Elephas maximus indicus: one gene and its partners. The protein of the gene in region 1 binds, or shares a complex with, the protein of each later gene. Links are inferred from orthologs where the notes say so. Each region holds a gene or a part of one and is shown on either strand. Other genes may lie near its edges. The genes, in order: cytochrome c oxidase assembly factor 1 homolog, CMC1, SMIM20 and TMEM186.

The links.
Region 2: cytochrome c oxidase assembly factor 1 homolog (region 1) and CMC1 share a complex: the UniProt entries of both Homo sapiens proteins name them as parts of the MITRAC (mitochondrial translation regulation assembly intermediate of cytochrome c oxidase complex) complex. The link is inferred for Elephas maximus indicus from reciprocal best matches to the Homo sapiens genes COA1 and CMC1.
Region 3: cytochrome c oxidase assembly factor 1 homolog (region 1) and SMIM20 share a complex: the UniProt entries of both Homo sapiens proteins name them as parts of the MITRAC (mitochondrial translation regulation assembly intermediate of cytochrome c oxidase complex) complex. The link is inferred for Elephas maximus indicus from reciprocal best matches to the Homo sapiens genes COA1 and SMIM20.
Region 4: cytochrome c oxidase assembly factor 1 homolog (region 1) and TMEM186 share a complex: the UniProt entries of both Homo sapiens proteins name them as parts of the mitochondrial complex. The link is inferred for Elephas maximus indicus from reciprocal best matches to the Homo sapiens genes COA1 and TMEM186.

Annotation. Positions count from the first base shown.
Region 1 is NC_064826.1:106,440,669-106,448,144, forward strand, and holds the start of cytochrome c oxidase assembly factor 1 homolog, read right to left. Parts: upstream 3,321-7,476; 5' UTR 2,923-3,320; coding exon 2,873-2,922; intron 2,151-2,872; coding exon 2,095-2,150; intron 1-2,094. UniProt on the Homo sapiens protein: Component of the MITRAC (mitochondrial translation regulation assembly intermediate of cytochrome c oxidase complex) complex, that regulates cytochrome c oxidase assembly.
Region 2 is NC_064845.1:11,504,911-11,513,301, forward strand, and holds the start of CMC1 (COX assembly mitochondrial protein homolog), read right to left. Parts: upstream 3,320-8,391; 5' UTR 3,142-3,319; coding exon 3,123-3,141; intron 2,463-3,122; exon of another isoform or gene 2,349-2,462; intron 1-2,348. UniProt on the Homo sapiens protein: Component of the MITRAC (mitochondrial translation regulation assembly intermediate of cytochrome c oxidase complex) complex, that regulates cytochrome c oxidase assembly.
Region 3 is NC_064823.1:137,137,427-137,145,638, forward strand, and holds the start of SMIM20 (small integral membrane protein 20), read right to left. Parts: upstream 3,359-8,212; 5' UTR 3,239-3,358; coding exon 3,130-3,238; intron 1-3,129.
Region 4 is NC_064830.1:66,919,080-66,926,836, forward strand, and holds the start of TMEM186 (transmembrane protein 186), read right to left. Parts: upstream 3,513-7,757; 5' UTR 3,492-3,512; coding exon 3,489-3,491; intron 2,479-3,488; coding exon 1,846-2,478; 3' UTR 1-1,845. Other genes in the region: PMM2 (phosphomannomutase 2), read left to right, coding at 3,726-3,818. UniProt on the Homo sapiens protein: As part of the MCIA complex, required for efficient assembly of the mitochondrial complex I.

The DNA of each region.
Region 1 (7,476 bases):
AGACAAATGAGAATGCTTGGGAAAATATCTGGCGGGTGGGATATTTAACAACCACAGTGATAATTATCGGCATCTTTAATTAATGCTAGAGGACCAAAGAACCAGCTAGTATTAAGCTAATAAATCAGTGATACCACAACGGATTGTAGTTTGCTTTAAGTGCACACTGTGGGAAAAAGCACAATTTTTTCTCCAGATGATCTTGACAGGTTATTGCATTTGCATTTTCATCACTGTGGAATCAGCTTGCTACTTTGCACAATCCGACGTTTCAGTGTCAACAGAAGCACAGCCCTTTTCTTCTACTTACTGTATACTCCTGGTCTTAATTACACTTTAGCTTTTTTCAGTGTATAATCTTGAACAAATACACAGATGGTTAAAATTAGAGGGCACTTCTTTTCTTCTGTACTATTACTCTATCTCTTTCAAAAAACGCCAAAATCAAACAAACTGATGACTTGAAATAAGGGCAAAAACATTAACCAATTTTTAAAACTTTTCTAAAGTGTATATGACATTTGACTTTAATGACTTCTGATGCTGTTAAACCTCTCCTCCCTGTTCCACCTCTAGTCAAATCACTGACTTGACAGTGAATATTGCTGTACATTTATGAACAGCTTCAACAGCCCAGCTTCCAGGGCTGGCCATCACCTGGGAGCAGCTCTCCAGACAGCAGAGAGGAATATGGCATAAAGCAGAACAGGCCTCCTGTCAGTTTAAATCAACAGACATTTATCAGTCTGCTAGTATTCCCTTCTTGTCCTCAATCTTTATTTCCACTTAACTTTTAAGTACTTCCAAATTCAAAAGTTCTCACATGGCTTTTTCTTTTCTTGCAAATTTATCGGGAATATGTGTAGTCATATATGGGAACTACTCACTTCACAATATTCTTCTGAGGCTGGCTGTAAGCTTTATTCCACTCTGACACTAAATTACTCTATAATCCAAAAACAAGGAAAGGAAAAAGGAATCAATTTTCACTGAGTACCCCCCGCACACTGGCCCTGCACTGGGAGTTTTACACGTTACTGTCGTGAGTGAACCCCTTCTATGGAGCCCATCGAGAGGGGCATGGGAAGACAGGCCTGGCAAACTGCTTTTGAAAGGACACATCCTTGAAAATCCTACGAAGCAGTCTACTCCACAAGTCGGCATCAGCTCCACGGCAACTAACACAACAACAACCACTCATCATGTGACTACTGTGAACTACGGCGTCAACGGAAGGGGGGAGCCGAGACATTGTCCCCCACAGATCCGAGCTCTCGGTCTACGCTGGATGTCTGACTGACTTCAGATCACAAAGCCTTCTGCTTCAGACCCCAAGCTAAAAGACCGTAAAAGACAGTAGAGTGAACGGAAATGGAAGAAAATCAATAATTAAGGATTCTGCAGTTTGGAGGAAATCATTTACACTCAATGATTTAAAAAAAAAAAAAAAAAACACCGCCACAATGGCTCCTTTTGCTACGGTTTAAATAGGAAATTATCCCTTAAGTAAATAAACATTCACATGAATCACTCTCTTCTACTTTCAGGAAAAAAAAAAAAAAAAAAGATGCAAAATCTCAGCCCTATTCAGACATGTGTGCTTTCAAACAACTTCAGGAGCAGAGTTGGTTGTGAGAAGAAGCATAACAACGGGCAAGGCCTCTGGCCTCAAGCTCAGTATTTCTGAGGCGTTCTGCCTTCATTAGTACCCTGATTCGTTCAATCATTCCGTTAACAAATACTTATTAAACATACCGAATGCGCCTTACACAGCACCACCTTAAAGGATGAGATGGGTGACAGTGCCAATAACCAGGATCAGGAACAAACAAACTAGGGAGAAACTGCAGTAAACTTTGTCACTATGAACCAGGAAGAGGGGGAAGAAAGGTGCTACAAAGAAAATTGATGCAGTTGCATGGAAAACTCCACAAAATGGTACAGCTGCTGTGGAAAATAGTTTGGGAGTTCCTCAAAATGTTAAACATAGAGTTATCAGGTCAGATCTTCGTATTTACAACATATCAAATTGAGCACATGAAAATTATTAAGTAGTTATATAAGTCAGTTTCACATCAATTAATCTCTTCTTACCTGGGACTTGCCCACAACTTTGGTCTTCGTTCAGAACTTGAAATGCTGGTTCACTGCTTGATTGAAATAGAAGAAGGGAGAGAGGTGCTGAAGCACCCACTCTGGACAGAGCAAGGGCTGAAAACTGCTTGAGCTGGGGACGCAAAGGAGTTCAGAATCCTAGCTGAGGTAAGAAGACGTCTGGGCTGAAGCAGAGACAGACAGTCTGGGATTCTAGCTAAAAAGAAGGTCTAATCTAGAGCAAAACAATGGATTCTACTCCCTATTTCCAAACTATCCTCACAGTTCTGAATAACATGTATATTTTAAAAGTATGTTTATATATGAAAGTGTGTGTATAAAACATTTACCTAAACTTATTAATCTGTTCATTCACCAAATACCCACAGAGCACCTATTATATCTAGACATGATGGAGTGACAGAGAAGTATTTAGGCTAGTTGGGAAGATGAGACGAATGTAAAAAGTTGTATTTTATGTATTATGAATGTATGATCAAACCTGTGGACGCTGAGTCAACTCCAACTCACAGAGACCCTATGTATGTACAGATTAGCACTGGTCCACGGGATTTTCTTGGTGGGTTTGAACCTTTATGGAAGATCACCAGTTCTTTCTTCCATGGTACCACTGGGGGGGGGTATGAACCACCAACCTTTAGGTTAGTAGTCACACACATGCTAACAGTTTGAGCCACCCCAGGAAGGGCTAAATGCCCTAAAAGACAGACAGAGGGCTACGTGAAAAAAGCAATGTAAACCTCACACATATACACACCTATCCTTTAATCTCCCAACGTGTTTTATATTCTTCACAGCACTTTTCATTCTCCACGAAAATGTACATTGCAAGGAGTCAAAGATTTTGCCTTGTTCGCAGCTATAACTCCACAACCTAGAAGAACACCCGGTGTACAGGATATTCTTAATAATTATTTCTTCAATGAGCTATTAACACCACAGTGAAATTGCCATTTAAAAATAACTACCGAGAGTCCAGAAATAAACCCTAAATTTATGGTCAGTTGATTTTTTTGAGAAGAGTACCAATACAATAAAAAGAATAGTCTTTTCAACAAATGGTGGGGGACAACTGGATATCCACATACCAAAAGAAAAAGTTAGGTCCCTTTCTAACATATGAGTAAATCTCGATGGCCTTGCATTAGGCAATGGTTTCTTAAATACAATATCAAAAACATAAGTCAGAAAAGAAAAAGTAGATAAGTTGGATTCAGAATTAAAAATACTTGTGCTGCAAAAGGCACCATGAAGAAAGTAAAAACAACTCACAGAATGGGAGAAAATATTTGTAAATCGTATATCTGACAAGGGATGTGTATCCAGAATATATAAAGAACACTTACAACTCAATAATAAAAAGAAAAAAATAACCCAATTTAAAATGGGCAAAAGATTTGAATAGACATTTCTCCAAATAAGCTATACAAACGGTTCAAAAACACATGAAAAGACGCTCAACATCAGGAAAAATGTAAATCTAAAAACCACAATGAGATACCACTTCACGCCCACTAGGATGGCTATAATCAAAAAGACAGATGACAAGTGTCAGCAAAGATGTGGAGAACTAAGAACCTTTATATACTAGTGGAAGGAGCCCTGGTGGCATGTAGTGGTTAAGCACTTGGCTACTATACCAAAAGGGCAGTGGTTTGAACCCACCAGCCACTCCGCAGGAGAAAGACCCAGTAGCCTGCTTTCCTAAAGATTTACAACCCTGGGGAGGTCAGCACAATTGGACTAAACCAAAAGCAAAGAAGTTTCCTGAATAAACTGAATGCTTCGAAGGCCAGCGTAGCAGGGGCAGGGGTCTGGGGACCATGGTTTCAGGGGACATCTAAGTCAATTGGCGTAATAAAATCTACTAACAAAACATTCTGCATCCCACTTTCAAGAGTGGCGTTTCGGGTCTTAAATGCTAGCAAGCAGCCATCTAAGATGCATCAATTGGTCTCAACCCACCTGGATCAAAGGAGAATGAAGAACACCAAGGACATAAGGTGATTATGAGCCCAACAGACAGAAAGGGCCACATGAACCAGCGACTACATCATCCTGAGACCAGAAGAACTACATGGTCCCCAGCTACAACCAATGACTGCCCTGACAGGGAACACAACAGAGAACCCCTGAGGGAGCAGGAGAGTAGTGGGATGCAGACCCCAAATTCTCGTAAGACCAGATTTAGTGGTCTGACTGAGACTAGAAGGACCCCGGTGGTCATGGCCCCCAGACCTTCTGTTGCCCCAGGACAGGAACCATTCCCGAAGCCAACTCTTCAGACATGGATTGGACTGGACAATGGGTTGGAGAGGGATGCTGGTGAGGAGTGAGCTTCTTGGATCAGGTGGACACTTGAGACTATGTTGGCATCTCCTGCCTGGAGGGGAGATGAGAGGGTAGAGGGGGTTAGAAGCTGGCGAAAAGGACACGAAAAGAGAGAGTAGAGGGAGAGAGCAGGCTGTCTCATTGGGGGAGAGTAATTGGGAGTGTGTAGCAAGGTGTATGTGGGTTTTTGTGTGAGAGACTGACTTGATTTGTAAACTTTCACTTAAAGCACAATAAAAATTATTTAAAAAAAAAAAAAAAAGATTTACAACCCTGGAAACCCTATGGGGCAGTTCTACCCTGCCCTACAGGATCGCTATGAGTCAGAATCGACTCTACAGCAGCAGATTTTGTATAACACTAGTAGAAATGAAAAATGGCACAGCTGCTGTGGAAAACAGTTTGGTAGTACCTCAAAATGTTAAACACAGAGTTATCATATGACCCAGGAATTTCACTCCTAGGTGCATACCCAAAAGAAATGAAAACAGATATTCAAATAAAATCTTGTATAAGAATGTTCACAATAGGACTATTCACAACAGCCAAACAGAATAAACAGCCCAAATATCCAGCAACAGATGAAAGAATAAACAAAATGTGGTATATACATACAATAAAATAATATTCAGCCATAAAAAAGAATGAAGTACTAATACATGCTACACATGGTACTACACTCTATGTATATACTACATTTGATTTTATTCATTCTCTTAGATGTTGTTGTTGTTGTTAGGTACCATTGAGTCAGTTCCGACTCATAGCAATCCTATGTACAACAGAAAAAAACACTGCCCAGTCCTGCGCCATCTTCACAATCATTGTTATGTTGGAGCCCGTTGTTATAGGCACTGTGTCAATTCATCTCGTCGAGGGTCTTCCTTTTTTTTTTTGCTGACCCTCTACTTTACCAAATATGATGTCCTTCTCCAGGGACTGGTCCCTCCTAATAACATGTCCAAAGTATGTGAGACAAAATTTCGCTACCCTCACTTCTAAGGCGCATTCTGGCTGTACTTCTTTCAAGACAGATTTGTTTGTTCTTCTGGCAGTCCATAGTATATTTATTATTCTTTGCCAACAACATAATTCAAATGTGTGTATTTTTTAAAGAACACATAAAAATAACTAATCAAGAAGAAGAATGCTGATGAATTTAACTACATTAAAATTAAAGAACTTCTAAGCAAATAGGGAGCACACTTACGGGTACTTCTTAGACATAACCAAACACCTTGCGGGATTGATTTCCTGGGTTTAAAGGATTAGAACCATTGTCTTGTGGGACATCTCAGTCAATTGGCATAATATAGTTCAGAACATAGTTGCTGCAAAAGACCTCTTTAAAGTGTTAAAAAACAAAGATGTCACTTTGAGGACTAAGGTGAGCCTGAATCAAGCCATGGTATTTTCAATCACCTCATATGAATATGAAAGCTGGACAATGAATAAGGAAGATCAAAGAAGAATTGATGCATTTGAATTATGGTGTTGGTGAAGAATATTGAATATACCATGGACTACCAGAAGAACAAACAAATCTGTCTCGGAAGAAGTTACAGCCAAAATGTTCCTTTGACGCGAGGTTGGTGAGGCTTTGTCTCACGTACTTTAGATGAGTTTTCAGGAGGGACCAGTCCCTGGAGAAGACATCATGCTTGGTAAAGTAGAGGGTCAGCGAAAAAGAGCAAGACCCTCAACGAGATGGACTGACACAGTGGCTACAACGATGGGCTTAAACATAGGAACAATTATGAGGATGGTACAGGACTGGGCATTGTTTCATCGTGTTGTACGTAGGGTCACTATGAGTTGGAACGGACTCAAATGCACCTAACAACAACAGTTCATAAAGCTTATGCTCTACATCCTTGTTTGGTGAATAGTGTCTGGGATCTTAAAACCATGCAAGCGACCATCTAAGATACATACATTGGTCTATACTCATTCAGAGCAAAGGAGAAAGAAGGAAGCCAAAGACTCAAAGGAGAAACTACAAGACTAATAGTCTACATGAACCATGGCCTCATCTACCCTGAGACCAGAAGAACTAGAGGGTGCCTGGCTATCACTACCAGCTGTTCTGATCAGGGCCACAATAGATGAACCCTGGTAGAATGGGAGAAATATGTGGAACAGAAACTCAAATTCCTAAAAAAAAAAAAAAGATTTACTGGACCAGATGAGACTGGAAGACTCACCTAGACTACTGCCCTGAGATACTCTTTAAACCTAGAGCCAAAACTAGCTCCTGAGGTCACCTTTTGGCTAAGTAATAGATTAGCTCAAAAATAAAGAATATCACCCATGAGTACTGTGCTCCTTTAAAAAATGATCTCTATGAGACCATATGGTCAATAATTACTTTAAAACAAAGATGAGAATGTAAGGGGACAAGGAAATTAGATTAATGGAAACAGAGCCACCATAACAAAAAATATTGAGAATGCTGACACACTGTGAAGAATGTAACCAATGTCACTGAACAATTTGTGAAGAAATTGTTGAATGGGTGTAAACCTTTAGTGAAAACACATAAAATATTATTTAAAAAAAAATTAAAGAACTTCTGTTTATCAAAAGACAGTATAGAGAAAGTAAAACCTAAGCTGGGAGAGAATAACTCTTATATTCATAACCAAGCAATAGTATCCAGAATGTCTAAGTTAATCCTACAAACCAATCAGAACAAGCAACCCAACAAACATATAAGAACCATTAAACAGACATTTCACAGAAGACAAATGGCAGTAAACATATGCGAAAGTGCTCAATATCACTATTAATCAGGGAAGTGTAAATCAAGACCACAGAATAACATTGTATGTCCAACAGATTGGTCAAAAATAAACAAATACAACAATGTCAAATGTTGGCAAGGATACAGATCATTTGGAAACACTCATATACTGCCAATGGGAATGTAAATTGGTATAACAAACCTGAATCACAATTTGGAATATCTTGCAATATCCTACAACCCAATTAATTCCACTCTAAATATATACCCTAGAGGAACTTTTGTAC
Region 2 (8,391 bases), on another chromosome or scaffold:
GTTCAGAACCAACGTGACGGTAGTGGGTTTTGTTTTTGTATCCAGACACTTATCTACTCAATGTGGACATATACTACTGTGGATTGTAAAAAGCAGTAAAACAGCAAAATGTGAACCTACGTTCCAATTTATGAACAAAAATCTATTAAAAAAAAAATCACTCCAATACATTTCTGTTCTTGAATTTAGACAAGGAAATTTGGAAAAACATCTTCACACTTGCCATCTCCACTTTCCTACTGTCCCTTCTTAATCCACTCCAGTTTCGTTTCTATCCCTGTTTTTGTCAGTCTTCAATGACCTTCATGTTGTTGGATCTGACCACTGCCATCCAACCAGTTGCTGAAGTATAAAGCCTAGAAATTATCCGTAATTTCTCCTTCTCCCTCACCACCTTATTCAGTGCAGCAGCAGGTCCTATCAATTTCTCCTCCAAAATGTATACTGAATCCTTACATCTCTCTCCATCCCCACAGACCTGGCCTACCGCTACGGTCTCTTAACCTGTCTCCTTGGTTCTACTCAAAACCTGCCTACAACCCACTGTACCACTGCAGTCAGAGTAATATTTTAAAGACATAAATGGCGTCACAGCTCTTTTTAAAAGTCCCCAAAGGCTTCTGATAACATCAGAAAACATCCAAATGTTTTATCATTGCCCACAAGGCCCTGCGGCATGGAGGTCTAGCCTATTTTCCCAACATCCTTCCTTCTGGAGCTCCTCTGTACTCTGGCCATACATGCTAGCCCAGTATTTGAAGCATTTGCTATTTCCACTGCCCAGCATACTCTTTCCCTGGCTCTTCACATAGCTGCTTCCTCTCATCCTCCAGATTCTAATTCAAATGACACTTCTTCATAGTGCTTTTCACTGACCACTCTATTAAAAGCAGCCGTCTCTTCACTAGAACCCTGCTTATTTCTTCATGTTTACCACAATCTGTAAAGGGGGAGAGGAGTTATTTGTTTTCTTTCTTTTACACTAGAATACAAGCTTTATGGTGAATACCCAGTATATGCCAGGTATTGTTACAGGCCCTAGCAAACAGTGGGTGGACTTGAACCTCCCACCTTATAGATCTTGTCTGTCCTATACGCCATTGTTTCCTATAACAAAGCAGTTAGAGCTTAGGCTGCTAACCAAAAGGTTGGCGGTTTGAATCCACTAGTCGCTCCTTAGAAACCTGATGGGGCAGTTCTAACCTGTCCTATACGGTCGCTATGAATCGGAATCAATTTGATGGCACACAGCAACGTAACAATATTTGGCATATACCAGGCAGTCAACAAGTATTTGTTAAATCAATGAATACTTGAACAGAGGCACTGTCTACAGTGCCAGACTAGGATCGCAATTACCTGGGTTCTATACAGAGTTGGCGCTAACGGAAATTAGCTACAAGGTCTTGGACACACAAGACGGGTGTGGCTGGAAGGTAAGAAAGTAGAGACAACAAACATAAGATTTTTTTTTCCATTTTCTTAACTTTCTAAATTCAAGAGCATCAAGCCTTTAACCTCTCTGAATCTGTTTCATCCATATGTAAAAACCCATTGGCACGGACTCCACGTGACCCTATAGGTCAGAGAAGAACTGCTCCACAGGGATTCCAAGGAGCGCCTGGTAAATTCAAACTGCTGACCTTTTGGTCAGCAGCCTGAGTTCTTAACCACTGCACCACCAGTGCACTTTAATGCCTATGCTTTTGCTCATTAGGCTGCCTCTTCTCCAACTCTAACCATGAGAAATTCTTTGAGGCCCCAGATCAACTGCTAACTGCTTCATTAAGCCTGATGAAATCACCTGGCCCAAAATCAGTACCATAGCTATGTGTTCCTTCTAACTTCTTTATGCTTCATACTAGAGTATTCCCTGATTTGACCACTGCCTACGTGGACTAGTAACTTAACCGCTCTGAGCCTGAGTTTCCTTCCTAATTTGTAAAATGGAGATAATTGTATTTGCATACCCTAAAAAAAAAAAAAAGTTGCCATGGAGTCGATTCTGACTCATAGAGACCCTACAGAACAGAGTAGAACTGCCCCATACACTATGTACTATTGTTGGATAATTTAGAATACTTAGAAAAGGGCTTGATATTAAAGTGCTCGATAAATGTATTATTTGTGCATTATACAAATTTACATTCTCTTTCAGGGCATAAAAGTGTCTTTTTCATTTCTGAACTTCTAAAGGTTTGAAGTCATTTCACCTCCCAGTGTCTTGAGTTTTGGTATCCATCAAATGAAGCGAATGGGCTAGATGAATTACCACTGCGTCCAAAAATGAAGCTCTACATCCCTACCCAAGAAACTAAATCAGTTGCCAAGAACTGATTCCAACTCACGGCCATCCCGTGGGTGTCAGAGTAGAATCGTGCTGCACAGGATTTTCAACGGTTGATTTTTTTGGAAGCAGATCGCCAGGCCTTTCGTCTCTGGTGGGGCTCGAACCTCCAACCCTAAGGTTAGCAGCTGAGTGTTAACCTTTGCACCACCCAAGCTCTCCTCTAGACCTATACCCTCACATAAACAGCCTAGAGCAGATATTGCTGGTGAGGTTCTGTAAGGGGGGGAACTGAAACGACTTCTGCAAATGCAGCATGAAAATCAAGAAACATCCGTCAAGACTTCAGGGAACCTTTCTAAAGAAACGACCTCTTGCCGCAGCGACTAGACCCTCGGAACTGTTAAGTTGGCACCAAGCGTGAACTGGGAATCTGTGAAGTCCTGAAAGCCAACATAAAACCGTGCTTCCCCAAGGACTGGCGAAATTTTTCTGCACCGGACGTTAAGTGTTCCAAAGTCTGTGCCCCCGAGAGCCAAGACGATGCCGACTTAGGGAGGAAAATGTTTGCAAGTCACCAGCGGACGTGTGTTCAGACCACGAACCCTGCGCCCTGCACCGAACCCGAGCCCCCGGGCGCGGGAAGCGGACCTGTCGCCCCCGGAAGCCGGGGGCGCCCAGAGAACCTCAGTCATCCGCAGGGCGGGGGGTGGCGTCTGCGGACGGAGCGCAAACCCGCGGCTCGGCCCCCTCCCCAGGCCCGCCCGAGTCCGCACGCCCGCGGCTGAGACCCGGCCCGAGGCCCCTCGGTGACGCCCGCTCCCTGTCCCCGTACCTGCGGGGTCGAGCGCCATCTCGGCGGGCAGACAAGGAGGCAGCCCGGCGGCGGCTCAGGGGCAGGGGGCGGGGGGGCGGAGCTTCGGCTCCACTGCACGTGCGGCCGCGGGGAGCTTCCCGCGTGACGAGGAAGAGGAGGAGGAGCACAGCGCCCTCCGCGAAGCCGGGCCAAGCCCTTTTCCTCCTCTAGTTCCTACTTCCGCCGCCACTGCGCCTGCGCGCTGCTGGCCCCGCCCCTCGCCCTGGCGCCCTCCGCGGTGGAGCCGACTTCTGTAGGGAAGGACCCTGGGAAGGGGGCGTGGCTGCGCGCGCCCTGGGGGCGGGGCCGTCTCAGCGCGCGCAGCCCGGGTTCGGGCGGAGCGCGAGCACGTGGTGGCTGACCCTGGTCTGCGGTGGCCGGAGCCGGAGCTGCGGGCCTTGGGGACTGCGCTGCCTTCGGCGATTAGGTCAGAGTCCGAGACCTCCCATGCCCGCTTTCGGAGAATCGCCCGATTCCTTTCATTGATTATTCCTTGTTAACGTTCACTCATTCATAAATGTCTTATTTCACGCCTGCCAGGGGCCAGGCTCGGTCCTGCGTGCTGGGGGAAAATAATTGACTGAAAAGGTTTGTCCCTATTCTCGGGGAGCACAGTGTTGGCAGGGGATCAGGCCCGAGCCACACGCGCGAGATGTGCACAGCACCTTCTACCATAGACCTGTATGCAGTTTCGTAATTTACCCCCTAAGCAACAGCCTGGGCCTCCCTGCAGGTTAAAAGAAAAATGAGGATGCTAGGGGTACCTCTATTTGGTGAAATAATATACTCAGGGCGTACATCCCATTCTGAGTGGTCACTACATCCTCCTTAAATCCTTCCCCACTGCCCTCTTCGTGGCAGAAACGTTCTGGGTGACACGATACCCATTCTCATTCACCAACCAGCCTTCAGAAGGTCTACCTTGTCAAGCCCATGTTTAACTAGCTGGGGCCTCCAAAGGGTGAAGTGCAGTCAGGGACAGATGGGACAGATGTTTGGAAAAACAAGGAGCAGCTGCTTCTTCCCTGCAAGGGATTTAAAGCTTTCAGAATGATCCCCTCCACGCCTACCTGCGGTGCCTCCTCCCCTGCTGCTGCTTCCGCCTGGTCAGTTGGCAGCAAAAGCTGCCACAGTTGAGCAGGGCTGGGAAAGTGTGTCTCTGCTCAGCAGGTCTTCCGTTTAAGGGCCTATTTGGGCATAACGGCCCTTATTACGGCTGCAGTTTGAGGTGCCAAGGTAAGGAATTAATGTTGCACTCAGGCAGGAAAGCGGGTCCTTTTCCTTGTATATTTTTATAAGGAATACCCCAAATTCACTCTGGAGCCCTTTTTGTTTTTTTTCTGGAGGTAAAGGATTTAATTCAGAAAGAAAATCTTTTTGAGGTAATGAGTTTTATAAAAACACAAGTCAGGTTCCCGCACTCAAGAATTTAAACCAAATCTTTGTTTATCCAGAAGGGCATCATGGTAAAGGGAGAAGTTGTGGAGAGCTTCAGTTGAGATCTGAGTACCTGAAGGTGAATCCTGCATAACAGCCTGTTAGCTTTATGATATGAATGAGTTCCAAGGTTTTTCTGGACTTTAGTTACTAACTTACAAGGTTGTTGTGAGGAATAAATGTGATACACATCTCTATTTCAGTTGTTTGAGGACCACTAAAGCAATTTTTGCCATAACCATTATCAACTAATTTTTTTAAATTTAAATCAACTCACTTTAGCTTTATCTTAAGCAAGAATATCTATAAAATCATGGGTTTCTATACCCCACAAAATGGACTACTGGGCATATCACACTAAAGGAGACACCAGCGAAAGTAACACCTCGATGACTGGTAAACCAGACCCATTGCCTTCAAGTCGATTCCAACTCCTGGCAACCCCATGTGTTACAGGGTAGAACTGAGCTTCATAGGATTTTCTTGGCTGCAGTCTTTAGGGAAGCAGGCCACCGGGCCTTTCTTCTGTAGCGCCACTGGGTGGGTTGGAACCAATTTTGCTTGATAGACAATCATAAACCGTTTGTGCCATCCGGGGACCTAATTCAATGCCTGGTACCTGTTGCTGTCAAGTTGATTCTCACTCATAGTGACCCTATAAGGCAGAGTAGAACTGCCTCATAGGGTTTCCAAGGAGCAGCTGATGGATTTGAACTGCTGACCTTTTGCTTAGCAGCCGTGCTCTTAACCACTATGCCACCAGGTCTCCTCAATGCCTGGTTAAAAAAAAAAAAAAAAAACTAGTATATCATTCTCCATTCTCGTATAAAACTAGATAGTTTGCAGGAAACTGTCTTGTAATATAACTGGGGAAGATAAATCATAAAAAGAAAGTTAAACAAAACAAAATAAACCAAATTCATTGTAGTTGATTCGGACTCATAGTGACTATAGAACAGAGAACGACCCCATAGGGTTTCTAAGGCTGTAATCTTTCGGGGAGCAAACTGCCACATCTGTGGAGATGCTGGTGGCTTGGCTGACCTTAACAGCTGAGCGCTTAACCACTGTACCACCAGGACACCTTAAAAAGAAAGTTAAATCACAGATAATAGATTGGCGGTAGAAAACAGAAGAAATGTCTTAAGGCGACTTCAACGAGTTTGAGGATTCAGGAAGCTGGGATAAAAATAGTGGGACTGAAAATGTTAGAAGAGGCCAGATTCCCAAAGCCTTAAACATTAGGTTGAGAGTGTTTGAATATGTTGCTACAAGCACTCAAAAGCTGCTGAAGGTTAAAAAGTAAAAAAAAAAAAAAAAATGGCATTTAGCTGACCAGTAGAGAGCCAAGAGGTAAGCAGAGGAGTGAGAAAGTTATTGCAGTAATTCAGGCAGAATCTGATAAGGAGCTGAACTAGGAAGTATAGAAATGTAAAAAGAAAAGATGGGTGTAAGAGTAATTGTGAAGGAAGAATCCATACTTTATAATTGGACTGAGGAGAATAAGACAAGCAGCCAAGAAGGATTCCCCAGGGGTTTCCTTTCCTTGGTAAATGCTCACAGACAAATAAGAAAATCCTAACAATGGGCCCATTTAGACCTCAACTCAGATGACGTGCCCTTGATCCTTATTGATGGGGGCAAATACTGGGACAGAGAAACAAGTTAGGAGGCTGGTGCAGTAAACACAGGGAACGATGACACTGTTTGAATCACAAGAGTCTGTGAAGGCAAAGAGAAGTGAGGTATTTAGTAGACTGGACATTTAAACATATATCTATGATTGTACGTATATGTGTATATATACATGTATATACACTCATACATATGTATATTTCTTAATATCACATATTCTTTAATATTGTATACGTATGTGAAAGCTGGACAGTAAATAAGGAAGACTGAGGAAACATGCATTTGAATTATGCATTTGATTTACGATGTTGGCCAAGAATATTGAATATACCGTGGACTGCCAGAAGAATGAACAAATCTATCTTGAAAGAAGTACAGCCAGAATGCTCCGTAGAAGCGAGGATGGAGAGACTTTGTCTCATGTACTTTGGACATGTAACTAGTAGGTACCAGTCCCTGGAGAAGGACATCACACTTGGTAAAGCAGAGGGTCAGCGAAGAGAGGAAGACCCTCAATGAGATGGATTGGCACAGTGGCTGCAACAATGGGCTCAAACATAGCAATGATTGTGAGGATGGCACACGACCAGATGGTATCTCATTCTGTTGTACATAGGGTCTCTCCGAGTTGGAACCAACTCAACAGCACTTAAAACAACAACAACAATATCCTGGGAATATGTAAGTAGAAACGAATATCTTGTTTATCACTTCAATTTTGACTAGATCTAGCATTCTTTTTTACTAGATGCTAATATCCAGGTAATTGTTTTTTGAAATTGAGTCCCTGCTTGCTTCCAACTTTGCCTAGCATCAGAATTAAAGACTTTCCACCTGTAGTTCTGCTCTGCTCTGTCCTTGAGCCAATGAGAATCAATTCTGGACGAATAGTAGAAGACCCATTCCTACCAGTGGATGGAGTTTGGAATGAGTTTTTGGCTAGAAGACTCTAGGGCTCCTGGAGGCCCTGCCTGCTTTCTGAGCTGCATAACATAGCTCACAGCCCTCATGGCCTGTGTCTTCTCCATGTAAACGGACTTTGATCCAGGGTAGCACTCAAAACCTTTACTAGGACTGGAACCCTTCTCTGAATCCCAACTCACTTGGCTAGTCCTGGCAACTGACCTAGCATTATCCTCTCCCCAGAGCAATATGTTTTGTCCTGTTTTTCTGATATTTGAATAGGGCCTGCTTCAATCTGGATCAGTCCACCTATCCTCCTGTCTGTCCCTCATTCCCCACATGCCATTAATTACAATATCCACTCAGACCTACTTTCGTAACATATCTTTATTTCACCTGCCAACTACAGTGTAACAACTTGTAGTCCAAGGTCTATCCACTTTCACTTAAATGATTACAATAGCCTCTATTTTTTTTTAAATAATTTTTATTGTGCTTTAAGTGCAAGTTTACAAATCAAGTCAGTCTCTCACACCAAAACCCATAAACACCTTGCTACACACTCCCAATTACTCTCCACCTAATGAGACAGCCTGCTCTCTCCCTCCACTCTCTCTTTTCCTGTCCATTCCGCCAGCTTCTAACCCCCTCCACCCTCATCTCCCCTCCTGGCAGGAGATGCCAACATAGTCTCAAGTGTCCACCTGATCCAAGAAGCTCACTCCTCACCAGCATCCCTCTCCAACCCATTGTCCAGTCCAATCCATGTCTGAAGAGTTGGCTTTGGGAATGGTTCCTGTCCTGGGGCAACAGAAGGTCTGGGGGCCATGACCACCGGGGTCCTTCCAGTCTCAGTCAGGCCATTAAGTCTGGTCTGCATCCCACTGCTCTCCTGCTTCCTCAGGGGTTCTCTGTTGTGTTCCCTGTCAGGGTAGTCATCGGTTGTAGCTGGGCGTCATCTAGTTCTTCTGGACTCAGGATGATGTAGTCGCTGGTTCACGTGGCCCTTTCTGTCTCTTGGGCTCCTAATCACCTTGTGTCCTTGGTGTTCTTCATTCGTCTTTGACCCGGATGGGTTGAGACCAATTGATGCATCTGAGATGGCTGCTTGCTAGCATTTAAGAGCCCAGATGCCACTCTTCAAAGTAGAATGCAGAATGTTTTGTTAATAGATTTTATTATTCCAGTTGACTTAGATGTCCCCTGAAACCATGGTCCCCAGACCCCTGCCCCTGCTACGCTGGCCTTCGAAGCATTCAGTTTATTCAGGAAA
Region 3 (8,212 bases), on another chromosome or scaffold:
TCGGCAGTTCAAATCCACCAGCCCGTCCTTGGATGCCCTATGGAGCAGTTCTACTCCATCCTATAGGGTCGCTATGAGTTAGAATCGACTCGATGGCAATGGGTTTTTAATGGGTTAATCTTTAGATGGAGCCACTGGATAGGTTCAAACCACCAACCTTTCAGTTGGCACTTAACCACTGTGCCACCAGGGCTTCTCTTACCCTCTCAGAGAGCCAGTCTGGTGCCATGGTGCAGCCATTAAGAGCACTTGTTCAAATTCCACATCTGTGACTCTTCAGCTGTGGGCTCTCGTGCAGGCGACCTAACGGTCCCACACCTCAGTTTGCCCACATATAAAATGGGGATGATGATCACATGGCAGCCACCTCAGAGGGTTTTTAGGAGAATTAAATGGGTTAACATACACGTGGAAACCCTGGTGGCACAGTGGTTAAGTGCTAAGGCTGCTAACCAAAAGTCAGCAGTTCTAACCCACCAGGTGCTCCTTGGAAACTCAATTGGGCAGTTCTACTCTGTCCTATAGGGTTGCTATGAGTCAGAATCGACTCGACAGCAACAGGTTTTTTTTTTTTTTTTTTAAACATAAATGAGCCGTCCCTGGGTACTGCAAATGGTTAACGTGCTTGCTGCTGACCAAAAGGTTGGTGGTTCAGGCCCACCCAGAGGCACCTCAGAACAAAGTCCTGGTGATCTGCTTCCCCGAAACCAGCCACTGAAAGCCCTGTGGAGCACGTCCTGGCACCCATGGGGTCGCCACGATTCAAAGCCGACCTGATGGCAGCTGGTTTGGTGCTTAGAAAAGGACCAGATGTGCAGTAAACTTCCAGTAAACAAAAAAAACTTCCAGTAGGTCAGTATTATCCACACGTTGGAAGATGCAGTTAGTTCCAAGGTTTGGCCAAAGTAATTAAAACTGAACCAGAAAAGTGGGCCGGTGTAGGCTCCTGTCCAGTTCAAAATGCAGGTATTCTGGCCACGCTCACTAAATGTTTCCCTAAAGGACCTGATTTGTCTCTCTCAACTGACCAAGTCTGACAACCAGAGATTCTGGAGTAGCCCTGTTAGACTGCTGCTGGGAGTCACAGCTCAAACCCACGCCTTGGTCATCAGATCTGGGCAGGATTTCTCAATCTCAGCACCACTGACATTTTGCGCCCGGTAACTCTTTGTTTTCAGTGGCTGTGCACTATAGAAAGTTTAGCCGCATCCCTGGCGTCCACCCCATAGATGCAGCCGTCATTCACAACCTTCCCCCAGTCGTGACAACCAGAAGTGTATCCAGATAGACCCAGATGTCCCGAGGGGCAAAATCACCCCCAGTTGAGAACCTCTGACTTAGTCTTCATAACTGAAACTTTCCTAAGGGGATCCACAGCAGGTCCCCGTGGTCCCAAATTCAACTCTAAAGATCATAATAAAACAGCCTGGGGCAGAGACCAAGTGAGGAAGGGCAATAGAAATAGCTTACTCAAGGCTTCAGACAGTCCCTTCCTGACCAACACCCCCCCCCCCCAGCCCCCCGCCCCATGCAAGAAGCACGCTGATAGGCTGGAAGACAGAATGCACGGGTGTCAGTTCAGTCTCGGCTGATGAAAAAGCTGCAAGAAAATCTGAGGTGTACTTAAAACGCTATGTCTCCAGAAACCAAATGTAGCATTTGTAATGGGCAGAACATTTACACGGGGCTTTAGCCTTCAAATCGCCCAGCTTTCAGCCTCTGCTAAGATTCTCAAGGGGCATGGCTGGCACTCTTCCATCTTCAAGATGATTCAGGTTTCCTGAAGAACAAAATGAGCCTCTAATGCCTAATATTTTCTCTCTGACAGATGGTTTCAGATGTATCAAAGCGCTAATCCTTGCTGAGGTGTAAGTCTCCGGGAAGGAGAGTTTGGCTTTTCGAATGATAGGACTTGAATGATTAAGGAGGAAAATTACTCCCAGGATATTCACCATTGTCATGTGAGCAATCAGCTTAAAACTAAGGAAGCCTGCAGAATCTGAAAAAAAGATCTGAAACAAAAGGAGAGGAAAAACTCAAAACCCTGGTTAACAGTTTAGGTTTGAACATTTCCACTCAAAGACATCTGCAGGAATGTAAATGAAGTGTAATAAAAACACCTTTAGGTACAGAATATATGGGGTTCTATCTGCCCCCCCCAATCATCGTTCCCAGCTTCAGGATGTGGAAGATGGGGGACTCTGGAGACAAAGGCCTGGTTTGTGACCTTGCCATTTACTAGCTGTTACCTTGGGCACGTCATACAACCTCTCTGAGCCTCAATACTCCATCTGTAAAACGGAGTAGTACCTATCTCCTATTAATGTTGTGGAAATTAAACAATCAAATGTATGCCTAACCTGACACATGACAGGCTGCCAGTGAATGCTAATTAAAACACAGTCCCTGGTGGTGCAGTGGTTAAGTGTGCGGCTGCTAAGAGAAAGGTCAGTGATTGGAACCCGTCGGCCGCTCTCTAGGGCCAAGGATGTGGCAGTCCACTTCCGTAAAAATTTACAGCCTTGGAAACCCCGTGGGGCCCTTCTATTCTGTCCTATAGGGTCGCTATGAGTCGGAAATGATTTGAGGGCATCGGGTTTGCTCCTTTGGTTTTTGAATGCTGAATGGTGTTGCCATTGAGTAAATTAGGAGTCATGGCGACCTCCTGAGTAAAAAGTAGAAGGGCTCCATGGGGTTTTCAAGGTCGTAACCTTCAGAAGTAGATCGCCAGCCTGTATCCCAGAAGTTGTTGCGTGGGTATGAACCGCCAACCTACCAGTTAGTAGCCAAGCACTTAACTGTTCGCACCACTCAGGAAACCTTAAATGAGTATTAAGCAGCATTTGCTGTAGACCTACTATGTGCAGGCTGCCTTCACATACACTAACCACCTTGGAGCTCACTAAAGCCTCCAGAGGCAGTTATTTATACTATCATCCCTGTTTTATAAATGAGAACGTTGAGGGTCCAAGAGATTAAGCACTTGTCCACGGTCACAAAGCTGCACAGCGCTCGAACCCGGGTCCGCCCGACTCCCGAGCCGAGTTCTTTCCACCGCACCACGTGGAGCTGAGAAAGGTGGGGGTGTTACTGGGGCCAGGCCACCGCGCGGGGTCAGAGGTCACTCACGGTACTCCTCCAGCCGCATTAGGGGCCGGAAGTAGATGGGGTAGAAGGCAGCGCCGAGCAGGGAAACGAAACCGCCGAAAATGAGCACAGTGCGCAGAATCCGGGACATGGTGCTGGGTTGGGGGCTGCCCTGGCCCGCTGAGCAACCGGCACTCGCGGAATCCCCGCTTTAGCGCCCGGGTCGTGACCCCGCTCGGAAGCGGAGAACTGGCTTTCGTTTCCGGGCCTTGGGGGCGGGGCTAGAAAGCGGGGCGGGTGCCGGCAGGGTCTAGGAGGAGGTGAGGCAGGGGCGGGACCTGGGGCAAGGGTGGGGCTAGAGGCGGGGCATGGGCCGGGCCTTGGACCTACGCCCCGCCTCCCCCTCGCTCGGTCTGTGCGCTGCGCAGGCGAGCGCAGGTGACGGGTTAGGAGTGGAGGTGCTGCTGTGCTGGGTTCCCGCGGGCCCTGTTCTGCTGTCTTCCTTGCCCTGGTCCTGGCTCCCCTCTCAGCCGCGCCACCCACTATCCTCCGGACCTCCATTACCCACCACGCTTCCTGGTTCTTCACCCCACTGATTAGTTTTTAGTGGCTTTGCACCAGGAGCAGAATGCTCTTTATGGGTGACTTGTTCAATCCTCCTATCTGTAGTCCCATTTTATGGTGAGGAAACCACGGCTCGGCTGCGCTGTTTCTGCAGAGTCACGTAGCCTCCTTAAAGGCTTGTGGGGACTACGGCGTCCCAGTGGTTAAGAGCTTGGCTGCTAACCAAAAGGCTGGCAGTTCGAATCCACCAGCGAGTCCTCGGACACTCTATAGGGCAGTTCTGCTCTGTCCTATAGGGTCGCTATATGTCGGAATCAACTGCACGGCCACGCTTTTTTTTGGGGGGGGGGGTGCTGCAAAGGGTTAACGGCTGGGTTGCTAATGGAAAGGTTGCAAGTTCCAGTCCACCCAGAGGCACCTGGGAAGAAGGCCTGGCAATCTACTTCGAAAAAAATCAGCATTGAAAACCCTACGGAGTACAGTTCTACTCAGACACAGGCAGTTGCCATGAGGCGGAGTCCACTTGACAGCAACTAGTTATAGAGACAAGGGCAAACTGCCTGGCCCAGGCTGGCCCCCAGGGGGGATTCTGAAACCTGAGACCAGGGGTGATTATCTAATAGGCCAGGTAAGCCCAACGCTTACCTTGCTTACCTGATCATCTGTAGTAAACAATTCACATACTTCCACCAGATCAAAGACCTTGCTTCTAGGTATAGCGGGCATCTGTCTCTCTCCCAGGCCCACAGCACCTTCCTATAGAATCAAAGCCTCTACTCTATCCCCTATAAATAAGGATGATACCAGGTGCTAGGGCTGGGGGGCAACAGCATGTTTATCTTGACCCAGCAGCATTATTTAGTCCAAAAAAGATCTAAGATCTTCCAGAAATGTGAAGAGTACAGGTTTCCTCTTTTTTTTTTAATTGTAGTTCTGTGGTTGAATCAAGTTACTATCTACCTCCTAGGTTCTGGAAGCATACAAATCAGTTGTTCTTTTTGCCAGCAGATGTGTGGACTCTCTACCACGCCCCCAGACACCAGGCAAAGTGCTACGGGGGACACAGGAATAAGATGTGACCCCTGCTCTCCAGGATCTTGCGGCGTAGATAAAGGGACCGGCCACATACACAAAAAGATAACTGATGAGCCCTGTTGCAGCCTATTGCAGAAGAGTGATACAGAACTGCGGGCTGCTGAAGTTCAGAGGAGGAGACAGATGATGGGGGTGAGGCGGCTGCTCCTCAGGCACCTAGAAAAGACTGTAAGGGTGAGGACAGAAGAGTTCATGGAAAACAGGGAGCCTGTGATACATGCTGTGTATTAGATGATATAAAATACCCAGGCATGGTGGTGCACGTGTGTCATTTTAACAACCCAGCATCCACTTCCCTTTTTTCTGTTAATAAAAACCAAACCACTTGCCATGGATTCTGACTCATGGAGACCCCATGTGTTACCTAGTAGAAATGCTTTCCATAGAAATTTCATGGCTGTGACCTTTCAGAAGCAGATTGTAGGCCTTTCTTCTGAGGCACCTCTGGGTGGGTTCAAACTGCCAACCTTTTGGTTACTTGTCAAATGCTTAACCATTTGCGCTGCCCGGAGGCTCTTTTTTCTGTTAACAAACCAAACCAAACCCACTGCTGTTAAGTCAGTTCCAACTCATAGTGACCCTATAAGGCAGAGTAGAACCGCACCCTAGGGTTTCCAAGGCTGTAATCTTTACGGGATCAGACTGCTACGTCTTTCTCCTGTGGAGTGGCTGGTGGGTTTGAACCATTGACTTTTTAGTTAGCAGTCCAGTTATTAACCACTGTACCACCAGGGCTCCTTTTTCTGTTTATGGTATCCTAATATCTTTGGGGAAAGCACTCCTCTCCCAGTGTCAGTCCCTGGAGTGAGCTGGGGCCCTTCCCTGTCTAGCCCCCTACCTTTCATCCTTACTGCCTCCGAGCTCCGGGAGTAAGCGTGTAATCAAGCCTAGCCAAGCTCCCGAGCCATAGGCACCCTCCTGGCCACATGACCAACCATGAAAGCTGGCTAAAACTTGAGAGGATGAGACGTAGAGGACACCATTTAGAGACTGAGAATGAAGTCAGTACAGCAGAAGGAAAGTTTAGAGACAAACTAGTGTCCCCCCTTATCCACAGGGATATGTTCCAAGACCCCCACGGATGCCTGAAGCCAAGGATAGTACCAAACACTATGTATACTATGTTTTGTCCTATACATACATACATACCTATGATAAAGCTTAAGTTATAAATTAGGCATAGTAAGAGATTAATAACAATACCTAATAATAAAATAGGACAATTATAACAGTGTACTGTAATAAAAGTTATATGAATGCAGTCACACTACTCATTTAACATTTTCATACCACAGGTAACTGAAACCATGGAAAGCGAAACCACGGATTGAGCCCCTGAAGCCAGCCATACCTGAAGTAGTCCTACTCCTGGACTTCTCGGTAACATAAGCCAGTAAAATTTCCTCTTCACATGAGTAAGAATGTTGGACTCTGTCTTTTATAAGAGCCTTGGTAGTGCAGTAGTTAAGCTTTCAGCTGCTAACCAAAAGGTCGGCGGTTGGAACCCACCAGCCGCTCCACGGGAGTAAGATGCAGCAGTCTGCTTACATGAAGAGTACAGCCTCGGAAACCCTATGGGGCAGTTGCTGTCTGTCCTGTAGGGTCGCTATGAGTAGGAATTGACTTGACGGCACTGGGTTTGGGTCTTTTACAACAGAGAGATGTGATCTTATTCACTAACATCCCCATAAGCTGCAAGTCAAGGCTTACCCTGTTTTATTGTCCAGGTCACTGTGAGCCAGAGATCTGAACTCCCTCTCAGGGTACACAGCACTGACTAAGCTAGGACCAGGGCTGAGACTCATGATGACTCATCTGAAGTGCTCCTCCATGACTCCTTGCTTTCTTGATGAACAAGCTTGGTAGGATGGCCCTGTTTATGGTGCCTCTGTGGGCCAGTACTGCGAGTGCCAGGATAACGGGGTGTCCTGGTCAGGTACCAGAGTCCCTGTGTGGTGCAAACAGTTAATGCGCTCAACTCTTACCCAAAATGTTGGAAGTTTGAGCCCACCCAGCAACACCTTGAAAGAAAGGCCTGGCAATCCACTTTAGATAAATCAGCTATTGAAAACCCTGTGGAGCACCATTCTACTCTGACACACATTGGATCACCACAAGCCAGAGTTGACTCGATGGCAGCTGGTACTGACTGATGAGATACAAAGAGTACCTCCAAGGCACAGCCCAGGACCCGTACGGCAGATGAGCCACCCCCTCTTCAAAGTGGTGTGACAAGTGATGGTTTCTGTGACCCCTTAATGCTAATCGAAAGGCTTTAGCCTGACCAGCAAAAACGATTAGCCCATCTATGCCATTTGTACAGATTATCATTATCACACCAAAAAACAGCTACCTGCCACTGCCTGTCACCAAGTTCTACCAAATTTTTAAGTCCATCTTTTGGATCATTGTGTTTTCTGCCCATTTCTGAGAAAACCACACTCACTCAAGTTTTATTTCTCTACTAATCTGTGAATTGAATCAACAAAAATGTATTGTGTGCTTACTCCAGGCAAAGCACTGTAATAGCTGCTTGGGAACACAAAAAGGAATGGTTCAACATTTGTGTATTCGACAAACGTGTCCATTGTCCCAGGCGGAGCCAAGCAGACGCCGGGTGGATGCGGCAGTGAGTAGCATAGCACAGCCTGTTGTCCTCCTGGCGTAGGAATAAGATGTGGCAGTAGATTGTAATTTCCTTTTGATCACTCAGCCTCCCCTAATGTTAGCATCTGATTTCTTTTTGGAGGATGACCTCTCAGCTTGGCATTGTTGGTTGGACTGTAAATCAGGGGCCGTGCTGGGCTACTAACCAAAAGTTTGGAGTCCAAGTCTGTTTGGTTTGCGTGCCACAAGGGGTACCTAGGAAGTAAAGCCGAGCGATCTGCTTCTGAAAATCATAGCCTTCAAAACCCTATGGAGCAGTTCTCCTCTGCACACATGGGGTCGCCAGGAGTCAGAATCACTCGACTGCAACCTAACAGCAAACAACAACGCACTCGTCATCAATACCAATATCAAGACTTGTAGAACATTTGTTTGTGCCAGTCATTATCATTGGCTTACTCCTGCAGTACCGACCAATGTCTGTGTACAAATACTTAAGTTTCCTCATATTCAGATCAGGAAGCTGGCGCAAGCAAGAAAGACTTGCCAGTGGCCACATGGCTAGTAAGTGGCAGAGCCGGGGTTCGAGCTCAGGTTGCTTGGCTCCAGAGATCTGTTCTTAACCACCAATCTACACTGTCTTGCAAATTCAGCAAGCTTGTGTTGCCTGGAAAAGGTGGTGGCGTAGTGGTTAAGAGCTACAGCTGTTAACCAAAAGGTCAGCAGTTCTAATCCACCAGGCGCTTCTTAGAAACCCTATGAGACAGTTCTGCTCTGTCCTGTAGGGTCGCTATGAGTTGGAATCGGCTCGATGGCAATGAAAGTTTTTTTGTGTTGCCTAGGAGTGCACATGAACCAA
Region 4 (7,757 bases), on another chromosome or scaffold:
TACCACAATAAAAATTTTAAATATAGATTTCTTTTTTTAAATACAATTGAAGAATCCCCACATGCAAGGAGTGTCTCAGTGCCCCCACATACACAGCCCCTCCAGGCAGGAGAACCCCACTGTTGGGGAGTGCACGGACCTGACAGGCAGCAGGTGCCTGGTGCCTCCGAACATCCTAGGACGCCCGTCACACTCCCCAGCCTGCCCACCTTGCTCTTGTTGACAGGAATTAACATCTGATGGGAATTTAATGACTGAAACAAATCAGTAAGGCTGTGCGCTTTCATTTGCATTTCTAAAGTGAATGAAAACGAAAAGGTAGTGCTCCCTTTTCTTAAAAGCTCCCAAACTGTCTTTCCCTGCTGTCTCTCCTTTCTCCGACCTCCTTCGAGAGCTTCCTACAGTGATTAGAATAAAATTCAGCATCCTCTCCTGGTCCATCCTTCCCCTCCCTCCCTCCACTCTCACCAGAGGGGCCTCCTCCTCTTCCCCAGCTTAGAACCTCACACTCCCTTTTCCTTCAGCCTGAAACAAACTGTGTCTGCCTCCTACAACACTCAGGTCTCCGCTGAAATGTCCCTTCCCCAGGGCCTCTTGTGCCCTTTTCCCATCATGCCCCTGCTGCTCATCTCCCTCAGACCATCCTGCTCTTCTTTCACTCTACTTGTCCACATTTGTAATTCCATGTTTGTCTAACGGAGTCCTTGGGTGACACGAATGATTAACGCACTTGGCTGGCTGCTAACTGAAAGGTTGGAGGTTCATGTCCACCCAGAAGTGCCTTGGAAGAAAGGCCTGGCGATCTACTTCTAAAAAACCAGCCATTGAAAACCCTGTGAAGCACAGTTCTATTCTGACACATTGGGTCACCATGAGTCAGCGTTGGAAACTGGTTACTGGTTTATAATTGGCTTTTGTTTATCAATAATGCACCAGCGTATCAGCATCTAGTTCATCAGTCTTTATTACACTATGAAACCTTCAGAATGTGGGAACCTCATACCTCTGGGTGGTGAACAAAATCCCAAGGGGCTGCTGCGTTTGCTTGGATGTCACCCCTGCCATTCAGTGTGCAGTTTACCAGCCTGGCAGAAAGATGTGGCCCCGTCCTAGGCTTCCTGCCAGTCCCTTCTGCTGCTGGACACACAGAGTGGACACAGCACAGGGCTCAGGAAGTCTGTCCGATCACCTGGAAGCCTTTCACAGAGCCCTAACCTCTGACATAATGCTCAACATTTGCTCAGGGCTGTTGAGTCCGGAAAGCACTTTGACACTTGTTTATTCTCCCGCCCAGCTCATGAGACAGGCGGGACTCCCCATTTTACAGAGTGAAAACCAAGGTTCAGATGACCTAAGTCTTCTGACTCCAAATCCGGTGCTCCCCAGCCACACCACTCTGCCTTCTGATTCCACAGCAGTGCACTGCTTGGGTGAACGTGAGACAGCTTCCTCCAAGAACTGGCTCTTACGAGAAGTTTCTGGCCATTATTTGAACATTATCCACAAGTGCAGTGAGAACTTGCACGTAGGGCCTTTTTATTAAACCTGGTTACTAGCTTTTGCCACATGAATTTCTTCATCCCATAAGACAAGTTCCTGGATTGCTGTTGTTATTTGCCATCCAGTCGATTTTGACTCATGGTGACTGCAAGGCCAGCTGATCTGCTTCTGAAAGGTCACAGCCTTGAAAATCCTATGGAGCACAGTTCTACTCTGCACACATGGGGTCACCATAAAGTTCCTAGGAGCCCTGGCAAAGTCTCCAGCTGCCTGTTCCTCTTTGTCAGCCTTCCTGTTAGAGATCCAGGTGGCCCAGGGATACCTGGAAGCCCAGCTTCCAGGAGTTTATCTGGGCATGTCCACTCTCCCAAACACCTGTGTGAATCGTTCTCTGTCCAGGATGCATCCATAGCGCAGACTAAGGTAGAAAGTCTGCTTCCCACTGTACTGCTGGATACGGACGAACACCTCCTGGGGCCGGTCCCTAGTTTCCATGAGGGGGATCACATCAGCCACGGGGCAGCAGGTATCCTGCCGCGAGCCCCAGAAGGTCAGGTGGGCCACCCGCAGCACCGTGCCTGACTCATTCACGTACAAGATGCCCACCAGCCTCCGGAAGAAATGGCTCATCCAGTACAGCATGGCCAGGGCAAAGCCAGCTATCCCACCCATGAGGCACAGGGAGCCAAGACTCATCAGGCCCTGGGTGTACAAATAGAAGCCTGGCGGCAGGGCCACCACCGTCAGGGCCGTCTGTGCCACCTTCAGCCGAGACAGGAATCCGAAGACTCTGATGGCACCAAACCGGTAGACCATCTGGAATTTCTCCGTCTCTGTGTCTGATGGTGTCTCCTTCAAGGTGGGTGGTCTGCTTCCCACCCACCTCCTGGGATCCCGCGCACTGCAGCACAGCCCATGGAGCGGCCTCCCCCAGGCAGCTACCCTCTGCCACTGGGTCACTGCTCTGAGCAGGGCAGCCTGGAAGGGAGACAAGAAACCGTTTCTCTCATGGAACTAAACCATGCTAATCAAACAATAAACATTTGCAAAGCAGGTCCCACGGAGGCTCCCAACAATTCTGGGAGGTCTCTGGTATCACCAGAGATGGAGGGAAAGGTAAAGCCAGACCTTCATGACAACTATGAGATAGTTGCCATTACTTCCACTTTATCACTGAGGAAACTAAGGCCAGAGAGGGTAAGAAATTTGCCCAAGGACACACGGCAAGTGTGAATGGGGCAGTGTCTGACCCTTAAACTGTTCCAAGTAGGTACAGAAAAAACGGACCAGCCTTCATTCATTCAACAAATACCCAGGGTGGGCCAACTCCGGGCTGGGCATTGGATCCACAAGTCTTCGCGAACATTTCCCCAAGCAGGAAAACTAAGCAATCGATGTCCTAGTGGCGAACTAGAAAATAAATCCATGAGACAGCTATCACTATAAATAGGTTAGGTTTGAGTTAGCTTGGGTACTGGAGGGAACTGCTGTTTTCTCTTAGCCTAGTTCAGGGAAGGGGAAACAGCAGAGGAGGGGAAGGGAGGCCCCAACACAAGGCGCAAAGATTTTATTAGGTGCACAGTTCTACAACCTTGTGCAGTGGAAAGAGCTTTGGAGCCAGATCCGGGTTCCAATCCTGGCCCCAATGGTCACTAGCTGTGTATCCTTGGGCAAGTTACTCAACTTCTCTGAGCCTCAGTTTCCTCATCTTTCAAAATGGGGATTCTGGGCCTACTGAATGAGACTATGGTTTTAAAGCCCTCAACACACCGATGCACGGTGAACGCTCAGTGAATTTTAGCTATCCCGTTTTCAGTGGTCCATGTGACTTCAGGACACAGGGAACAGAAAACCGTTCCCCATGCCGGAACTTCCTTCCGCGGACTCTCAGACTGAGACACCCAGGCGCCCTGCATGCCTGCCCTAAGCCCTGACCCCGACCCCGAAAGCACGTCACCTTCCTCAACCCCCACCACACTCCTTCTTACCATAGCCCCGCTAGTCGCTGCCGGAAGTGAATACCGCCTGCCCCCGGAACCTCTAGGAGCGCATGCTCATACTACGGGAAACTCAGGAGTGTGTTGTGTTCTGGGACTTGTGGTTCAGCGCTAGTGGCTGAGGCGAGTTGCAGGCATTGTGAGAGCCTAGTCTCCTCGTCCCGGCGTGCCCTGCGGCGCGGGTGCCGAACCCGGAAGTTCCGGTCGATTTCCGGGTGCCAACGGGTCATGTTTGGTGCGTGCGGGACTGGAGATATGGCGGCTACCGGCCCAGCACTGTGCCTCTTCGATGTGGACGGGACGCTGACGGCCCCGCGGCAGGTAGGCGGTACCCAGCGAACTGGCGGCAGCCGGTGCGGGGCCCCCTGATGGGTCCCGATTGGGCTAAAGATCGCCTCGGGTAGGCGCCAGGGGGCGGCTAAGGACCACCGACGGTCGGTTAATGACTGCCCACTCTTCCTGGGGTGCTGAACTCTATTCTGTGTGCCTGGAGGGATGCGAAGGAAGTCACCCAGCTCTTTAAGACGTCAGGGTGCTCGAAGAGATGAGATGGGACCGAAAAACCCTTGAGGGTAGAGAACTTGCACTGGGTTGGGAAGTCCAGTTCTGGACTTTCATTGCCAACCCTGGGTACCGATGGCCTGGAAACCCTGTGGAGCAGTTCTCCTCTGTCCTGCAGGGCCGCTATGAGTCGAAATCTACTCGACAGCAACGGCTTAGGTTTGGTTTTGGTCTTCAGGCCCCTGACCAACTGTGCACCACCCTCCTCCTGCCACCCATAAGCTGTGCCATGTAGGCTGATCTTAAGAATACAGGTTTCTGGGTTAAACAGACCTACCTGAGCCTCAGCTTCACTTTTTGGCAGCTGTGTGGCCTTGAGCAAGTCACTTAACCTCTCTGAGCCTCAGCATCTGCCCCTTTAAATGGGGACATTACCTCTTACATATGGTGCCTGTGAGGATGTTGATCTTTCTTAACTGAAACCTATTCTTGCCTGTAACAGCAAAATCTGGGAGTGCAAGTTTCCAAGGGCCCTTTTTGGCTCTGAGGTCCAGTGATCATCCGTTTATGGGCTATTAAGAGTACGTAATTGTCTGGAATTGGGGAATTCCTGTTTTTGTAAAGGGCAAGATAGTAAATTTTTGTTTTTGTGGACCATATGATCTGTAGTAACTACTACTCAGCTCTGCAAAAGCAGCCACAGACCATATGTAAATGAATGGGCATGGCCATGTTCTAATAAAACTTCATAAAAACAAACAGCAGTTCCGATTGGTTGGTGGACTATAGTTTGTCTATCCCTGGGTCTAGGGTTTACATTTCCAAGACTTAGACTTTATCATTGGACCCTTTCAACCCTTCCTTCCTCCCTCTTCCACCTCAGGAAGGGTAGTTGTTATTCCCATATTACGTTTAAGGAAACTGAGACCCAGTGAAGCAATGACCTTCTCGGTTTCACAGTAGACCTGGTCAGTCCCTGGGTCTCGGGGTATTGTTATTTGCCACTTTTGCCATTTCCTACCACTGTGCTAAAGTGGAAGGTGTTTCAGTTTCTGAATGTGCTGTTCAGGAAAGTGCTTTGGATTTCCAAAAAGAATTAGAATAACTAAGCATAGTAGTTAAGTGCTATGGCTGCTAGGCTGCTAAACAAAACATCGACAATTCAAATCCACCAGCCGCTCCCTGGAAACTCAATGGGGCAATTCAGCTCTGTCCTAGAGGGTCACTGAATAGGAATCTCAGGATTGAATTGACAGCAATGGGTTTTTTTAAGTATAAAGTACGAAATAGCAAAGAAACCAGGTTAGGTAGCCTACAACGTATTCTCTTAAGACATTTGAAACATGATATTGTTTGCAGTAACCGTAAATTATTTTTACACTCAAATAAATAAACTCTGTAATTTAAAAGAGAATTGTTTCTGTGTTGGGTGCTCTAGGTAAAATTTTTTTCGCAAAAGAGCTATTCATCATACAGTCTTTCTCTTCATCATTACATGCATTTGCAAACTGATAAGTGCAGTAAAATCCAGAAGCAGAAGACTTGCACTGCTGAAACAAGGACCGAGCTAAAAACATAAAAACTAATTAGAATGGACTCCAGGGCTTTGCACACGTCACTTGTTGTTAGGTGCACTCGAGTCGGTTCTGACTCATAGCGACCCTGTACACAACAGAACGAAACACCGCTCAGTCCTGCACCATCCTCACAGTTGTTGCTATGCTTGAGCCAACTGTTGCAGCCACTGTCAATCTCTTTGAGGGTCTTCCTCTTTTTTGCTGACCCTCTACTTTACCAAGTGTGATGTCCTTCTCCAGGGACTGATCCCTCCTGATAACATGTCCAAAGTATGTGAGACAAAGTCTTGTCATCCTTGCTTCTACTGAGCATTCTTGTTGTACTTCTTCCAAGACAGATTTGTTTGTTCTTTTGGCCATCCATAGTATGTTCAACATTCTTCCCCAACACCATAATTCAAAGACGTCAAATCTCCTTCAGTCTTCCTTATTCATTGTACAGCTTTCGCATGCGTATGATGCGATTGAAAACACCATGGCTTGGGTCAGGCACGCCTTGTTCTTCAAGGTGACATCTTTGCTTTTCAACACTTTAAAGAGGTCTTAATGTGTCTTGATTTCTGGACTTCTGCTTCCATGGGTGTTGATTGTCGATCCAAGTAAAATGAAATGCTTGACAACCTCAATTTTTTCTCCATTTATCACGATGTTGTTTATTGGTCCAGTTGTGAGGGTTTTTGTTTTCTTTATGTTGAGGTGTAATCTGTACTGAAGGCTGTGGTCTTTGATCTTCATCAATAAGTGCTTCACGTCCTCTTCACTTTCAGCAAGCAAGGTTGTGTCATCTGCATAACGCAGGTTGTTAATGAGTCTTCCTCCAATCCTGATGCCCCGTTCTTCTTCATATAGCCCAGCTTCTCAAATTATTTGCTCAACATACAGATTGAATGGGCCTGATGAAAGAATACAACCCTGATGCACACCTTTCTGGATTTTAAACCATGCAATATCCCCTTGTTCTGTTTGAACAACTGTCTCTTGCTCCATGTACAGATTCCTCATGAGCACAATTAAGTGTTCCGGAATTCCCATACTTTGCAATGTTATCCATAATTTATTATGATCCACACAGTCGAGTGTCTTAGCATAATCAATAAAACACAGGTAGACATCTTTTTGGTATTCTCTGCTTTCAGCCAGGATCCATCTGGCATCAGCAGTGATATCCCTGGTTCCACATCCTCTTCTAAAGACGACTTGAGTTTCTGACAGTGCTTGTCGATATACTGCTGCAGCCGCTTTTGAATGATCTTTAGCAAAATTTTGCTTGCATGTGATAATGATGTTTTTTGGTAATTTCTACATTTCAGTTGGGTCGCCTTTCTTGGGAATAGACATATATATGGATCTCTTCCAGTCAGTTGCCCAGGTAGGTCTTCCAAATTTCTTGGCATAGATAAGTACGTGCTTCCAGCGCTGCATCCATCTCTTGAAACATCTCAGTTGGTATTCTGTCAATTCTCAGAGCCTTGTTTTTTGCCAGTGCCTTCAGTGGAGCTTGGAATTCTTCCTTCAGTACCATTAGTTCCTGATCATATGTTACCTCCTGAAATGGTTGAACGTCGACCAATTCTTTTTGGTATAGTGACTCTGTGTATTCCTTCCATCTTCTTTGAATGCTTCCTGCGTCGTTTAATATTTTCCCTGTAGAATCTTTCAGTATTGTTACTCAAGGCTTGAATTTTTTCTTCAGTTCTTTCAGCTTGGGAAATGCTGAGCATGTTCTTCCCTTTTGGTTTTCTATGTCCAGGTCTCTGCACATGTCATCATAATACTTTGTCTTTTCAAGCCACCCTTTGAAATCTGCTCAGCTCTTTTACTTCATCATTTTTTCCTTTTGACATCCATTTTGGTCTTTTCTTTCTTTCCTGTCTGTTTAGTGATATCTTGCTTTCTTCACGTATGATATCCTTGATGTCATTCCACAACTCATCTGGTCTTCAGTCATTAGTGTTCAATGCATCAAAACTGTTCTTGAGATGGTCTCTAAATGCAGGGGGGATATACTCAAGGTCGTACTTTGGCTCTCGTGGACTTGGTCTAATTTTCTTTAGTTTCAGCTTGAACTTGCATATGAGCAATTGATGGTCTGATCCGCAGTTGATTCCTGGCCTTGCTCTGACTGATGATATTGAGCTTTTCCATTGTCTTTTTCCACAGATGTAGTTGATTTGATTCCTGT